Arabidopsis thaliana: one gene and its partner. The protein of the gene in region 1 interacts with the protein of each later gene in a pairwise test. Each region holds a gene or a part of one and is shown on either strand. Other genes may lie near its edges.

Region 1 (8,144 bases):
TATAGAGATTTCATGAAAATGTGCAAATTCGACAAAAATTTCTATCTCAATTTGTGTTAAAAAGATAAGGCATATTTGTACATTCTTATACTGATTTTACCAAAATTTTACTTATTTAAACATTAATATATATAATTTATTTCAAGATATGGTTGTTTTGGGCTATAATGGTCTAGACTTGCAAGTTGGATTGGCTCAAAGCAGCTTTTGAATCTGTGATGATATAATTGTTAACAACCAAAGGCATTGACTGATACCAAACTATAGAAAGTACAAATAATCTCCTCATGGGAAATTCAGACACCAAAACCAGCTCTGGTTAAAAATTAACCGGTTGAACCAACAACCTGAGGCATTCCAGAGGAGCAAGAGTGACTATCAGAGCCTCTCTGTGTCTGTCTTGTATTGTAGGAACCACAGCTACTGCATTTATGCGCGATCAAATGAAACCGAACGTTCGTGTTTGAGCCGCAGTCATTGCAGAGAATCCATACCTGACTCAACACATCACATTTAAATCCAAATCAGAAAGTGTACATAACACAAACACACACACACACACGAGAATCAAATATCGAATTTAATTTTGGTTTACCATCTTGTTTTCATACATCTTTGGCATTGGGTATGCAGCAACCTGCAAAATTTTGAATGTAAGACTTAGTGAAACATAAGAGACTATACAAGGAGACCGAACATCAGATCAAGAAACCTCACCTCTTCATCAAGTTTCTTCCACAGATTAGACATGTCACATATGGATTTGGAGCATACAGGGCATGTGTATCTACACAAAGCATCAAGAATTTTTTTAATCTTTGTTTATCAATGACTTCATTCATGGGTTGCATAAAAGATTTGAGAGTTCTTTTACCGGTTATGTAGCCCCATATCTTTCGTGCATTCTAGATGCATAGTGTGACCACATCGTAGGACAGTGATATCTCTTGTTGAATCAAACAGATACTGAGAACAAATACATCCACATCAAGTTCAATTGTAAGAAACCATTATGTTGCATTAAGAAATGGGTGAATCTGATTCTTATACCTCAAAACAAACCGGGCAATTGTGATGCATAGCGCCTTCAACACATTGGTGTTTGTCCTCCATAATTTTGGAGTAGCAACATCCTGTTTTAAGAAAACAAAATAAGATCTCCAAACAAAGAAAGGCACGAGAATTTGTAGAAACAAGAACATGAGGTTTTGTCTCTTACGGCATCTTTTGCAATGGAAAAAGTTTTCTTCTCCTCCGGTCCTATTAAACCAACATCATGAGATAACATATCAATAATTAGTTACCAAAAATCAACAGATTCTTTTTTGAATAGGTAAGCAAAAATCACAATGCCAGTTTCTATACCTGCAAATCCCACACTCATCACAGTGATATTGCTTCTTGGAAAGCTGAAACAACCAATATTAAGTCTCATTACTACTAATTCCAGCTATAGAAAGAGCAATAACTCAATTACAAAACTTACATCATCGTCGAAGAACTTGCATTTTGAACAGAAGTACTTCCCCATACATACACCACAATTGGAGCAGTTTTGCTGAACCTGAAGAAAACAAATTACAGGTCTCTTCTACATCAATAAACATATTTACCAATAGAATTTGTATATCTAAAATGTAGATACTCACGTCTTGTTCTGTCTCACAAAGCGAGCATATGACCTGAAAAAAAGTAGACCAAAATTGTTATCACAATGAATAAACAGAATCAAAATGTTCATAAACCAGAATGTTCAAAGTTAAAAACCTTTGAAACTTCATGTCGAGGAAGCTCATGTCTATGATGCTGTTCAATATGAAGAGAATCCTGTTGAAACAAACAAAACACATTAACATCTATAACCAAAACTTGTTCTTCACAAAAACACACACACACACACAAGTTACAAAGACAGAGAAGTAAAAAGACTATTCCTTTAATATTAGTTTTCTACCTTAGCTTCGTTGTGGCAATGTCTGCAATCAAAAATCTCATCACAACATGGTGCTCTAATCTTGCATCGTCTTCTATAATGTGAACACCTAAACACACACACACAAGGATAATCAAATTCAAAAAAAAAAAAAAATGAAACTTTAGCTTCAAAACTCAAAAGAAACTCAAAAGATGTTATTTACCCGTAATGCCCAGATCCAATCTCCATTAGATTCGCAAATTCTTGATTTTGCTCATTTTCATGGAAACCCATATCCATACTTTACCTAAAGTTTTGATCTTTCTTACTTGGAATCAACACCAATCAGATATCAAAATTTGTTGAGAGTAACGAAAGAATAAAAGAAACGTAATTTGAAGAAATGTATTGACGACGTTTGGTAATCAGAAACAGAGGAAGTTGCAGAGATGAAAAAGCAATCATGTTGATGATATTTATTTATATGAAGATGAGTGATGACTCAGCAACACGCCAGATTTTTTATTTTGCCTAATCAACAAATCCCATACTCATTATTAAAAAGGTTTTAACGTTTTTGTTTTTTTTGCTAAATATAAATTTTCTTCTTAATAAACAGAAATATTTTTCCACTTGTTTATGGTTTACTCCTAATTGGAATTCATTAGCAGAATACATAATTTTAAATAATAAAAAATTACATAATAGTTAATTTTAAATAAAATACATAATAGTTAATTAGTCAGAGCCAAATTTCATCAACATTAATGAGAAAACTAGAGGTAAAAAAAATTGAAAATGAAAAGTGAAAAGAGATTCGTTGTCGGACTTTTGTTAAAAAAAATATCTTACTTGTAATTATGCATTAAAAAGAAAGTTATTTTTTTATATTCTATTAGAAAAAGTTTAATGTACTAAGTGAAAGTTAATAACATATGAAACACTCGGTTTAAGATTCAATTCAGTTGGCGACTTGGCGGGTCATTAAGAACAAATTTTTGTGGTGTGTGGGTCAATGTCAATATGTCATGTCTTGTTTTTAAAAAGCAGAAAACAGGATAGGATTGGATAATGGATATGTCCTCCAACTTGATGACTCAATTTTTTGGGTCCACTCTTTTATAAATTCTACTAAAACACACTATGGAATACTTTTTTTTTTTTTTGAAGTTTGATATTAGTAGTGTTAAAGTTGTGGGCTAAGTTCTTGAGTTAGATTAGTAGGTAGTGTCAACTCAATATTTGATCTTCAATGGGCTTAGATTGGGCTTATCTTTTGGGTTTGTTATAAAATAAGTATTTGGTAAAATGGGTTAGTTTCTTTTTCTTTTTTTGGTCAACCAAAATGGTCAAGTTTTAGGAAAGGATTAGAGTGCCTAAGTATCATCATTTATTTGTTGATAAGTTTGACCAAAACGTAACAAAATTATTTCGCAACCAAAAAGTACTAGTCAAAGGGGGGCGCCAACTATTTGATAAACAACAGCAACTGTTTTTTTTTTAAAACAAACCGTTACGTTGTTGAATATTTTGACGTTAAGAATAAATTATCAGCGAAAAAAAACGAAATCGATCTTTTACAAGTTTGACAAAAGCATATCTTCGTCATCATCATGACCGATTCTCAAGCACTAGTTCCTGGGCCTTCACCGCCTCATAGCAAAGCTGAAATTTGTTACGGAGCTACTTTTTTCAACATCTCTTCTTATGGAATCATGGAAAAATATGAAACTCCTACTGTTATCTTCGGATATGCATTGCCTCTCCTTGAGCTGCAGATCATTCTCATCTTCGTTTGCATCGTCTTATCTCATATGTTCCTCAGACGTATTGGCATACCACGGTTCGTCTCCAACATACTTGTAAGTTAAGAAAAACGTCCACAACTGTCAATTTCTTGTATCGCAAGTACCAAACGCTTGGTTTCTTGTACTGCAAGTAACAATTTTTTTTTTTTTTTGAACTAGGCTGGTTTGATTCTTGGACCTCAGCTGCTTGATCTTCTGGAGTATTCATCGGACCGATTATCGTTAGACATCCCCGGAAACGTAGCGTTGGAAGGTGTGGCCAGGCTTGGGTTGGTAATGTTCACGTTCTTAATGGGCGTGAAGACCAACAAGAGAGCGGTGTATCAAATCGGTAAACGTCCGATAGTAATCGCGGTTTCGTCCTTTTTCGTGACTATGATCAGCGGGTTAGCCTTCAGAAACTTCCGTCTCGACAAGGTCGACCCTCTTTATATGCCTCTGAGGCTAGCCCCAACAGAACGCTCCGTGATTGTATCGATTCAAGCAGTAACGCTGTTACCGGTCATAACCCACCTCGTATATGAGCTGAAGATGTCAAACTCCGAGCTCGGCCGCATCGCCATATCTACAGCCGCCGTCAGCGATTTCCTTGGATTTCTCACTCTAGTATGCATCTCCTACGTTGGAACATACAGGTATGTAAGACGTCGATTAATTTAGGAATCTAATTGGTGCATTTGCATACAAAACTACTTACCTCATTAAATATACTTTTGTAGTAATCAAAGTCTACAAATCCGGAGACCTAAAGCAATATATATAATGCTCTAAAACTGGTTAAAAGTTTGATCAACGAAAAGTTACCGTTTTATTGTCTATAAAGCAATACTAATTGTTATCTACACAATAGACGGCACCGGAGTGTTTGATTAGTAATGTATATCTACTATCTAACGAACATTATTTGCTATAATAGTTTGAAACGGTCTGCAGGTATGTATCGCCCGGAATAGCCAACCGCGACATAGTGGCATTGATCATCTTAGTCCTTGTGATCCTATTCATCTTCAAGCCAATGGCACAACGAATAGTGGACATGACCCCAGAAGGCAAGCCCGTACCGAAAGTCTACTTATACGTAACAATCCTGACCGCAATCGCCGCGAGTATATACTTAAGTGTTTTCAACCAAATGTACATTCTAGGAGCTTTATTGGTGGGGTTGGCAATCCCAGACGGTCCGCCTCTGGGATCTGCGTTAGAGGCAAGGTTCGAGAGCTTGGTTACAAACATATTTTTCCCTATTTCAATCGCGGTCATGGCGATGAAAGCTGACGTTGTAAGAGCATTGTATTCGTTCGATGACATTTCCTTTAACATACTTCTACTGGGTCTTACAGTGGTAGTGAAATGGACTGCCTCTTTTGTACCTTGCTTGATCTTCTGCGAGTTACCTACTAGAGAATCCGTTATCATCGCCACTATCATGAACTATAAGGGTTTTGTTGACTTATGCTTCTTCGATGTCGCCTTAAGAAGAAGGGTAAAATAATCTTCATCTAACCTACACTCTACATGTATATATATTGCATCATATGGTTTTGAATTAATGGTTGAATGTTTTTTGTTTTCTTTAACAGAATTTGTCGCGAGCAACGTACACGGTCATGATTATTTACGTGCTATTGAACGCGGGGATTTTGCCTACGATTATAAAAGCACTATATGATCCAAAGAGGAAGTATATTGGATATGTCAAGAGAGACATTATGCATCTTAAAACAAACTCAGATCTCAAGATTCTAACTTGTTTGCACAAGCCTGACAACATCTCAGGTGCGATCTCGCTACTTGAATTGCTTTCCTCGCCGCTAAACAACGATAACAAAGACAGAGGAGTCATTGCTGTCACGGCGTTACACCTAGTGAAACTCGCAGGACGTACGTTTCCCATCTTGATACCTCATGACAAGCGGTCTAAAGCGCGGTTGCTTCAAAACTCTTACATACAAACAATGATGCTCGCGTTCACCGAGTTTCAACAAGAGAATTGGGAATCTACCACTGTTAGTTCCTTCACAGCTTATTCTCATGAGAACCTAATGGATCAAGACATTTGCAATCTTGCTTTAGACCACCTCACATCGATGATCATTGTCCCTTCGGGACGAAAATGGTCACCCGATGGAGAATATGAATCAGACGATATTATGATCAGACGTGTTAATGAATCTCTCCTTGACCTCGCTCCATGTTCTGTCGGCATACTTAACTACCGAGGATATAATAAAGGTAAGAAAAAGACCAACAGTATCATTAACGTTGGTGTGATCTTCATTGGTGGTAAAGATGATCGTGAGGCGCTTTCCCTTGCGAAATGGATGGGACAGAACTCGAGAGTGTGTCTTACTGTTATCAGATTTTTGTCTGGTCAAGAACTAGATAAGTCCAAGAATTGGGATTACCTTGTTGACGACGAGGTCTTGAATGATTTGAAAGCGACATATTCATTGGCCAACAATTTTAACTATATGGAGAAGGTAGTCAACGGTGGACCTGCGGTGGCCACCACCGTTAGATTGGTGGCGGAAGACCATGATTTGATGATTGTAGGAAGAGATCACGAAGATTATTCGCTGGACTTAACAGGGTTGGCACAGTGGATGGAGCTTCCGGAGTTAGGAGTCATCGGAGATTTGCTTGCATCCAAAGATTTAAGAGCTAGGGTTTCTGTTTTAGTAGTTCAACAACAACAACAACATGGATGAGTGTAACATATGTCAGTGAATGATCTCAAAAAAAAAAATTGAATTATACTCGCATCATGGGTAAATGTTAGAATTTACATTTGACGTGGAAATAGATTTAATATAATTGATCTAAACAACATTGGTTAATCCATTCATTACCAAATTGTTTTTGAGTAAGAAACTCATGCATATATTGTTCCTAAAATAGTATATATCAAATCAATAATCCGGTATTTTTGAGAGATGAGTTGTTCTGCTCTAACATAGTATACAAAGATGAGTTTGACGCAGTTGGAATACATTGATAAGCCAGTTAATTATTGATTTATCTAAATTTAGTGTTCATTAAAATTGTATTTTAAATGTATGCAAATAATCCATTTCGTACTACTTAGCACAGTTAATTTGCACAGAATTATTCCAAATATCTAAATCTTGGCGCTTTGTTGAAGCAAACACTACTGCTAAAAAATTAAAAAATTAAAAAAATAATAATAATAATAATAAATAAATAACAAAATTGAAAATTTCACCTGAGCTTTAATGAAAAAAAATACGAGTAATGTGCACAATGTAGTTCTATAACCACTCCTATGAATATCCAATGATTTCTAAAACACAGATTATGTAAGAGAAAAATTCAAACGTGAGATATCTCCATTGTTCATCCGAGCTCAAGCACAACAAAGGTTTCAGTGAAACTGATCGAAAAATAAGTGAAAATGTCTTGTATTTTACTTCGATTTCTTACATTGTTCAACATGAAATTTCAAACTATTTTAACCTAAATAAATATGTTCGATCTTGACCAGTTTCTCTATTTCCCTCTATGTTGTTTTAGTGTTAATATAAACATGATTTTCTATAAATATAAAGATTAATATAGTTGTTGATCGCAAAACCTTATGCGATTATATTTGTGATGAACTGATCGGCTAAGTGGATTTTCCAAAAAGTTACATTTGAATGGTCTAAATAAAATTTACAAAAAAAATATTCTTCTTACAATTAAATTTCTAAGTCTATAATGAAAAGAATGGTAAAATTGCAAAATGATTATGTACGTATATAAGAACCTAAATCATTAGCTGTTGTTGTTGTATAACCAAAACAGAAGCTTGGCAATTAAAATCCTGTGAAGTCAATAAATCTCCAATAATACCAAGCTCCTTAAACTCACTCCATTCCTCAAGCCCTTCTGTGAACACACTCGTCCTTCCGTTCCCTCTTCCCACTATGAACATATCGAAATCGCTTACCATCGATCTTAGCAAACTCGATGTTTCAGCCGCGTCTTCAATCGCTTTCTCCGAGTAGAAAATGTCTACTAATGTATTGCTTTTCACGTCTCTAAGAAGTTCATCGTCAAGCATTTTATCCCACACCGTGTTCTCTCGTGCTTTCTCATCGGTAGTGATCAGTCGAACAATGGTTATATTGATCCTTGGGTCACGGGCCATTCGTGTAGCAAGTGTCACTGCTTCTCTATCGTCTTTACCGCCTAGGAAGATCATACAAATATTGTAAGATGATAAGTTTGGAACTGTGCCATTGATGGTTTTCCGTCCGGAACTGATGTTTTTCCGTCCGGAACTGCTTCGGTATACAAAGACTCCGACAGAACAAGGTGCCACGTCGAGAACGCTCTTGTTAAGGTTCCGGATCATGTTATTGTTAGAGATAAGAGCTGATCCGTCAGCAGACCAAGTCTGGTGAAAAGGAAGGAGTATG
Region 2 (7,918 bases), on another chromosome or scaffold:
GAAGAGATGAAGGAAGAGAGCAATCAATTGGAGGGATTAAAAGTTAGATGAGAATTGATTGTGTTTGTATTATTTTGTATTTGTAGTGTGAATGGGCAAAAAACTCTTGAAACAGAGGAAAAGTAAGTTGAGGAAGAGCAGAAGATTTTGAAGACATTAGAGAATCATTAGGTGTTGAGTATTACATTAAATCTTCCTCTTCTTCTTTTGTTCTTTCAATTCTTTGTATTTTTATTGTGAGGATTCTCTTTTTTTTTCTTTTTTTTTTTGTAGTTGATTTGTTTAGCTAAAGGATTCTTTTTTTTTGTTTTTGTTAAAATCCAATGTTATAAATTGTTAATTATTAAATGGTTTTCTTACCATTGAAACTAGACATTGCTAATTACATTTTTGTTTTTGTTTTGCCGACAAGCTAAATACATGTCTAACATGACATAGTAATATTACTGGCTGATTCAAGTCTAAAATAGATTAAAAAGGTTTCTAGTTTATGAAAGTTTTTATGGTTAAGTTAGAGTTAGTGGCGAGTTTAAATCAGTGTTTTATGATACAAGCAATAATGTAAAATTAAATGGAGATGAGAGATAGAGTAACAACCACTATATCTTTTTCTAACAAGGACTTCACAAACTAGCTTTTATGTAAATCCACCCATCTATGATGCCAATTTAAAGTAAGAGTGTTTCTTAATTTAACTACCTTTCTTTCAAAACTCACTCATTTTCTTTTTCTTTCATAATTATTGAAACTAATTTTTTCAGCATATTAAATTTGCTGAACAATGATAAAACAATATGAACGAATGATTTTAGTATTTAACTTTCGTCCTCATGTAGCCATGTTGTTATTTTCAAACCATAAAGAGGACTTAAGAGTCGTCAGATAAAACAATGATATTTTCGTATTCGTCGATGCACTAATAACCAACTCGATTGGACAACATATCTTACTTCATTCACGATTTTGATGATTTCACCGAACAATTTTTTCTTTCTTTCTCTTTTGTCTTTTAATTATGTCATTTTCTTACTGGATATGTTCACTGGTCGAGTTGGGTCTTGGCCTAACACATAAGATATATTTATGATAGACATATCTTTTTTTTTTATCTTTTTTTGAGTTCAAAGTAGACTTACATATGTCAAAATCCGAGACTCCCCTAACTCATGAAAAAAGTGAGACGAATTCAACTACTTTGCCGAATTTACCTGTCTTAGAAAATCAATCAAACCCTTGAGTTGTTTGCTTGATCATACCTTCTCTTCTCCTTGTCACTTTCACTCAATACAATTGACACAAATCATCACTCGGGAATCAAGACCCAACACTTTTGTCTTGGTTGTCAGGGGCTGGGTTAAATACTACTAGGCCCAGTATCAGCCCACGTAATGTTCTTCTTTACTGTTTTGTCTATGCTCTAGTTTTTGTTTATACATTTTCTTTGTATTCCTCATTCTCCTAACAACCCTATTGCCTGCCTATTGGTATCAGAATAGACCACCACTGCACGAGAAAAAACCTAAACTTGATCGCGAGGAAAAAATTGTGTAACTAAAGTGGTCGTGGAGCGGTGGAGGTAAAACATTACTACATAGTACTGTTACAAAACAATATCTTGTAATAATTAAAATAAAAGATAAAGTAGTAAAAATATTATTTTTTTGTCACATCATTACAATTTTCCTAATTTATGTTTAGACCATTGCTGTTTGGCATACTAAAGGTATAAGAAAGACACGCCACAGAGATCCAGTGGTATACAATTTTTATGCTTTGGAATCAACTTATTTGCTACAATGACAAACTACCAAAGTTTATTTAATTACTTTACAAAAAGAATTATTTGGATAATCCAAAATCAAAGAGGGGAAAGTTGGATTTACATTTCCGATTAACATTTTAACGTAAAAAGGAAAAATGTGAAACATAAAGTGGGCAACTGGACATTCACGGCAACAGATCAAAAACCCTTTTTTAAATCAACTACTTAGTAAAAGAGGAATAAATTAACAGATTATCACACACACTGATTGATAAATTAGGAGCAAATTGGTTTTAACAATTCAAAAGAAATAAACAAAGCACTAAGTTAGTTTTGGTGCTGACGAGAGTGGACGGCAAAAAAAACAGAAGATCACTATTAAGAAAGTTAAAGTTAATAGTGCAAAATATTAATGTAGGGAAAAAAATGACTACAATAATGTTCAAAGTTAAAATAAAGGACATTTTGTTGGCAAGAAGAAAAACATTAGAAACAAAAACAGAACAAGGCAAAGCTGCAAAGTCAAGTTGAGTCGGTGAAAGAGAACAACAACCAACCTTTACCCCACTGCCATCCTCCCTAGTTTTGAACATGTGCACTTTCTTCGTTATTTACCATCACTTTTGTGTTGTCATATTCATCTTCTTCTATTCAGAGAAGACATTTAGCCAAAATTTATGTAATTTCCGAGATTAAGAACTGGTTTTCCTTTGTTTGTCACTTCAAACCAGTGATCAACAATGAAAACAGTAAATGTTACAGTGGTCTATACCAAGATTCTAAAAGTTGAAAAGTGGAAGAGGGCATGCTAATTTGAATGAATACCCAATATTTAAGATTCTAGAAGCTCCTTTTTATCTATATATATCAACTAAATAGTCGGCATGAAGCTCTCAAATACTTGGTCCACCTATTTATAGAGTACACAACTTTTTTGGAAACAGCTAATTGGAAAACTCTGTATTATTTAGGGTTTGGTACTAGTTCCTTTTGTTGTGCAACTATCAATAAATAACATATACCTTCTATTGATAAATCCAAATCCAAACTCTAAAGTGAGTCGCTGAAAATGAAAGTAGTAAAATTTTGTGGCCTCTCATCTCACTGTATTCATATTTCGTTTGTTGAGTGCCGACTCTACTATCCACCTATTATGAGATTCTTATGTTAAAACTTACAAAATATATTTACCTAGATTTTGTCTTTGTCCATACTCTTCCATGTCTCGGGATCAGAACAAAACAACTAGTTTACGTGCTTTTTTGGAAGGTCTTATAGTAGTAATACCAACAGAGCTACAGATAATGGATTAAATACATGTAACCAACAAATGTTATATTACTTTTATAAAATAATTATAAATCAATGAAAAAAATTCCTTATGAATCGCTAAATTTTCAAGAACTCAAAACCTTATTCGGTTTTCATAATGAGCAATGATGAATACATGTTATACGTCGAATTATTATTTTGGATTCTCAAGCCGGCCCTTTGCTATCTTATTTTCTCCTTTACAACATTTTTTAACCCCATTGTCAAAGAGTCGGCTTTGAGCCCATGATTGTAATGAATGGATAGCTTGAATATTGCGACCACACTAATAATTCCCGTCAAATATTTGTTTAACTTAATGTATGACACATGTATTTTACGAGCAAATAAATTCAAAAAATTTAAGCATTAGCGAAAACATTGTTTCTCCGCTCCACAAGACACTAAAACATAAATAATGAATTAAATCAGTCATTCTACAGAAAATTAATCACCGTAGTCGGTTGCCATCATTCCAAAACCTTAAAAAAAACCCATGTAAAATGATCATTAACAACAACAACAACAACAACCAAACCAACAAAAATTAAAGTAAAAACAGAGTCCAAAGCCTCGTCACATCTGCCCATAAATACCCTTCACCGACTCACCATCTTACCACATCAATTCTCTCATATCTCTCTCTCACTTTCGAATATATCTTAAGATAACAGAGACACATACTCTTAAGTTTGGTGAAGAATAAGAAGACAATGACGAAGGAAGTGGTTGGTGATAAGAGATCTTTCTCCGGGAAAGACTATCAAGACCCACCACCTGAACCTCTATTCGACGCTACTGAGCTTGGGAAGTGGTCTTTCTACAGAGCTCTCATCGCTGAGTTCATAGCCACTCTCCTTTTCCTCTATGTCACTATTATGACTGTCATCGGTTACAAGAGCCAGACCGATCCAGCCCTGAATCCTGACCAGTGTACAGGCGTTGGCGTCCTTGGTATCGCATGGGCCTTTGGTGGCATGATCTTCATCCTCGTCTACTGCACCGCCGGCATCTCTGGTCTGATCTCTCTCTTTCTCTTTTTACATCGCTCATTTGTAATAAAATTCAAACGTAGTTTGGTTTGGTGTTAAAGCTCACATAAATGTTTTGGTTCAACGTATTTTAATGAAACAGGTGGGCATATTAATCCGGCAGTGACTTTTGGGCTGTTGTTGGCTCGGAAAGTGACGTTGGTGAGAGCAGTGATGTACATGGTGGCTCAGTGCCTCGGTGCCATTTGTGGTGTGGCTTTGGTCAAGGCCTTCCAGTCTGCTTACTTCACCCGCTACGGTGGTGGCGCAAATGGTCTCTCTGACGGTTACAGCATCGGCACCGGTGTTGCAGCCGAGATCATTGGTACATTCGTCTTAGTCTACACCGTCTTCTCTGCCACTGATCCCAAGAGGAGTGCGCGTGACTCTCACGTTCCTGTAAGCCTATTATTTTCCCCTTAAGATTATTTATTTTAAAAGAATGTGACATGATTATGTTACAACAGAGAGAGGTTTAGTCATGGTTAGATAATTTAGAAATTCATCGCATTAATGGAAACAGTAGCATACCCGTGTCCTATACGGCGCTCTACTTATCATAAAGATTTAGCCGTAGAAATTGTATGCTTGTTGACAATTTTGTTTTTACTAAAATCAAAATTTAAATTCGAAATTCATATTTAGAATCGAATTAAGAAAAAATAAAATAGACCGTACAATATATCACGGATATATTGCGACTGTAGCTTCTAGATTCGTCATTATAATAAAATGCATAAAGGACATCGATGATCTTAAACTTTTTTTTGTCTTTCATGTCTCTCTCCATAACATATGTCCTTTATTTGGACATGGTCCCAACTCCATTTGTAACCACGTATACTACTCCCAAACATAACTATATGAATATTATTCTGGACTGTACTATTTGTCTCGTGATTAGTAACATTTCATTATTTTTTGTTGTTGGTGGTGATGGTGTGGTGATTGAAGGTATTGGCTCCATTGCCAATTGGATTTGCAGTGTTCATCGTTCACTTAGCTACAATCCCAATCACGGGCACTGGTATCAACCCTGCAAGAAGTCTCGGAGCTGCAATCATCTACAACAAGGACAAAGCTTGGGACCATCATGTACGTTATACTATATCATATATTTTACTTCTTCGTTTTTGATATTACCAAGGTTTTCAATTTATTAGTGTTTTCTATAATTACTACAGTGGATATTCTGGGTGGGTCCGTTTGCTGGTGCAGCCATCGCAGCTTTCTACCATCAGTTTGTGTTGAGGGCTGGTGCGATTAAGGCGCTCGGGTCTTTCAGGAGCCAGCCTCACGTTTAACTTTGATATGCTCTTCCCTGAGTACATCAAAGAGAGAAAAAGAGAAGATAATAAGAGAGGCTTGTAATTTTATCTTGTGTAGACGGTTGGAGCCAAGTGACGTGTAGTACTAGTATCTAATTTCTAGCTTTGGTGAGGAGAGATATTTTGAAGTGTCGCTTGCGGGCCAACTTTGAATTGCTACTTCTATGATTAAATCTATGTCTCTACTCCTTGACTATTAAGATTGCTCTATTTATTAGTACTAAATATTCCTTATATATGATCAACGTAAGTCCCGAGTATTTCTTTAAATTACACATGAAAGTATAAATTTACATGTGAAAGTGGAATAGTGTGGTTCCACATCAATGAGATTATCAGATTACCTTCCAAGTTTCAATCGAACTATGTTGTGGTTCCTTGTAGTTTGGAAAGTAATCTCATTTGATGTTATTGGCATAGTGTAGTGAGTGGATTGGACGGTGATGGAAAAGACTCATCGAGAGGTCAAATAAAGTGGCCATCAACCTCTTCATAAAGAAAGCTTTTACAACTTTTGTGTTTCATGCGCATTTTTGAAACACATCATGACGAAAATAAGTTTAGTTTCGCAGAAATCTATGGAGAAATCTAATCTCTAGATTTCAAACTAGCATCATGTTCAAAAGTAAGGTTTTAGACCATCTTTATAAAAATTTTATAACTAACAAAATGATTTAAAATCTTTTATATAAGAGATTTTTGTTAGTTATAAGACATGTCTCTTAACATAAAAAAATTATTTTAAAAAATCATTAATAATAATATTTTTAATCATCTTTCATATGAAATACAAGAAATCATCATCATACACATTTTACTTTTCGTTTCCAGTATTACGAAAGATAATTTTTGTAACCAATTTCTTTTTTTTTTTTTCTTTTTTCTTTTCTTTTCTTTTTTAACCAAATTGTTATTATGCAGAATATATGTATAAACTATAAAGTACTGTGTGGAAGCTCTTTTGGCCCAATAATTGATCAGTAGTTCATTAATGCTTCTACATGAAGATGTATGAGGTTCGAGTCCCAACTACTGGAATTTATTAGGAAATTTGCAGATTGATGGAGGCAAGTGTGCAGGACATCTACAACGATATACAATTATATCCGTTTGCCAAAATTTCTACGCAAAGAAGATATTGAATGTGTCTATATGCTTTAATAAATTTAATTTGTAGTCACACTAATACAGTAAAACCACACCACAACACAATCAATCAACCAAAGCAATCATCTACAACTCCGATTACTTATTATTACGATGTAAATAACAAATGAAACCCAATGTTCATAAAACAAGGGATTTCTGGATTCACCTCGCAAGAATCGACGTTCTATGCAGAGGATGAATCTCGGAATGTTTTCAGAGAGAAAGGAATAACAACAACTTCAACGATAACATGAAAATGACGATGACACTTGATATTTATTAGCTTCAGCTCTACGCACACTTGATTTGAATCACAACCGTCCATTGATCTTCTAATCACAGCCGTCCACGTGGCCTTACTCAATATCCTGTATCAAATCCTCCCTCCTTAAGCAACCATGACCTCATGGTTGAATGTAGGATACTTCTGCAACAGGTCAAACAAGAACTCCCAAGTTGCCTCCGCCTCATCCTCATTCGTCCATTGAACCAGAACCTTTGTAGCTGCACGACCGTGGCGATTCACTAGCTTCCTCTTCAGAATACGCGCAGGTTCCTTAAGCAACACATCCAACAACACCGAAGGCAATTGCTTACCAACTGAAGACTCTCCCACCCACAACTTCAGTTGAGAAACATGGAAAACTGGATGAATGCGAGAAATGTCAGGCAGAGCTAGTTTGTAAGCCACCTTTCCACATGTATCCAGAATCTTATAAGGTCCATAATACTTAGGCGCCAGTTTCTGATTCGATCTCATCACCACAGAACCTTGACGATGGGGCTGAAGTTTCACAAAGACAAAGTCACCAATCTGAAAGCTTCTATCAGATCTCTTCTTGTTAGCAGACTGCAACATCCTGTGCTGAGCTCGTAAGAGATGAAACTTCAAAATCAATAACATCTTCTCCCGCTCTTGTAAGTTCTGAGCCACCACAGCCACTTTGGACTCGCCCGGAACATAAGGCAAATGCTGCGGAGGGGGTTGACCATAAACAGCTTCATAAGGTGACATGTTAGCTGAAGAATGAAAGCTTGTATTGTACCAAAACTCAGCGAGAGGCAACCATCTGCTCCACAAACCCGGTCTGTCACTAGTCATACATCGTAAATATGTCTCCAAACACCTATTCACCACCTCTGTCTGTCCATCACTTTGAGGGTGATATGCGCTTGAGTAATTGAGAGCCACACCCTGTAATGTGAACAATTCTCTCCAAAACTCACTTAAAAACACTGAATCCCTGTCACTGACAATAGAATTAGGCAACCCATGAAGCTTGAATATATTATCCATGAATGCTTGTGCTACTGTCAAGGCAGAATAAGGATGACTC

Evidence for each region.
Region 2: the proteins of CHX9 (region 1) and PIP2;5 interact in a protein complementation assay, tested with the Arabidopsis thaliana proteins (one large-scale study listed by BioGRID).

The regions. Positions count from the first base shown.
Region 1 is NC_003076.8:7,659,214-7,667,357, reverse strand, and holds CHX9 (cation/H+ exchanger 9), read left to right. Parts: upstream 1-3,528; coding exon 3,529-3,777; intron 3,778-3,882; coding exon 3,883-4,358; intron 4,359-4,656; coding exon 4,657-5,206; intron 5,207-5,303; coding exon 5,304-6,431; downstream 6,432-8,144. Other genes in the region: AT5G22920 (CHY-type/CTCHY-type/RING-type Zinc finger protein), read right to left, coding at 327-494, 596-637, 718-787, 875-966, 1,051-1,133, 1,220-1,260, 1,366-1,409, 1,487-1,564 and 4 more; CHX3 (cation/H+ exchanger 3), read right to left, coding at 7,490-8,144. UniProt on the Arabidopsis thaliana protein: May operate as a cation/H(+) antiporter.
Region 2 is NC_003074.8:20,298,331-20,306,248, forward strand, and holds PIP2;5 (plasma membrane intrinsic protein 2;5), read left to right. Parts: upstream 1-3,428; 5' UTR 3,429-3,786; coding exon 3,787-4,090; intron 4,091-4,207; coding exon 4,208-4,503; intron 4,504-5,058; coding exon 5,059-5,199; intron 5,200-5,288; coding exon 5,289-5,408; 3' UTR 5,409-5,979; downstream 5,980-7,918. UniProt on the Arabidopsis thaliana protein: Aquaporins facilitate the transport of water and small neutral solutes across cell membranes.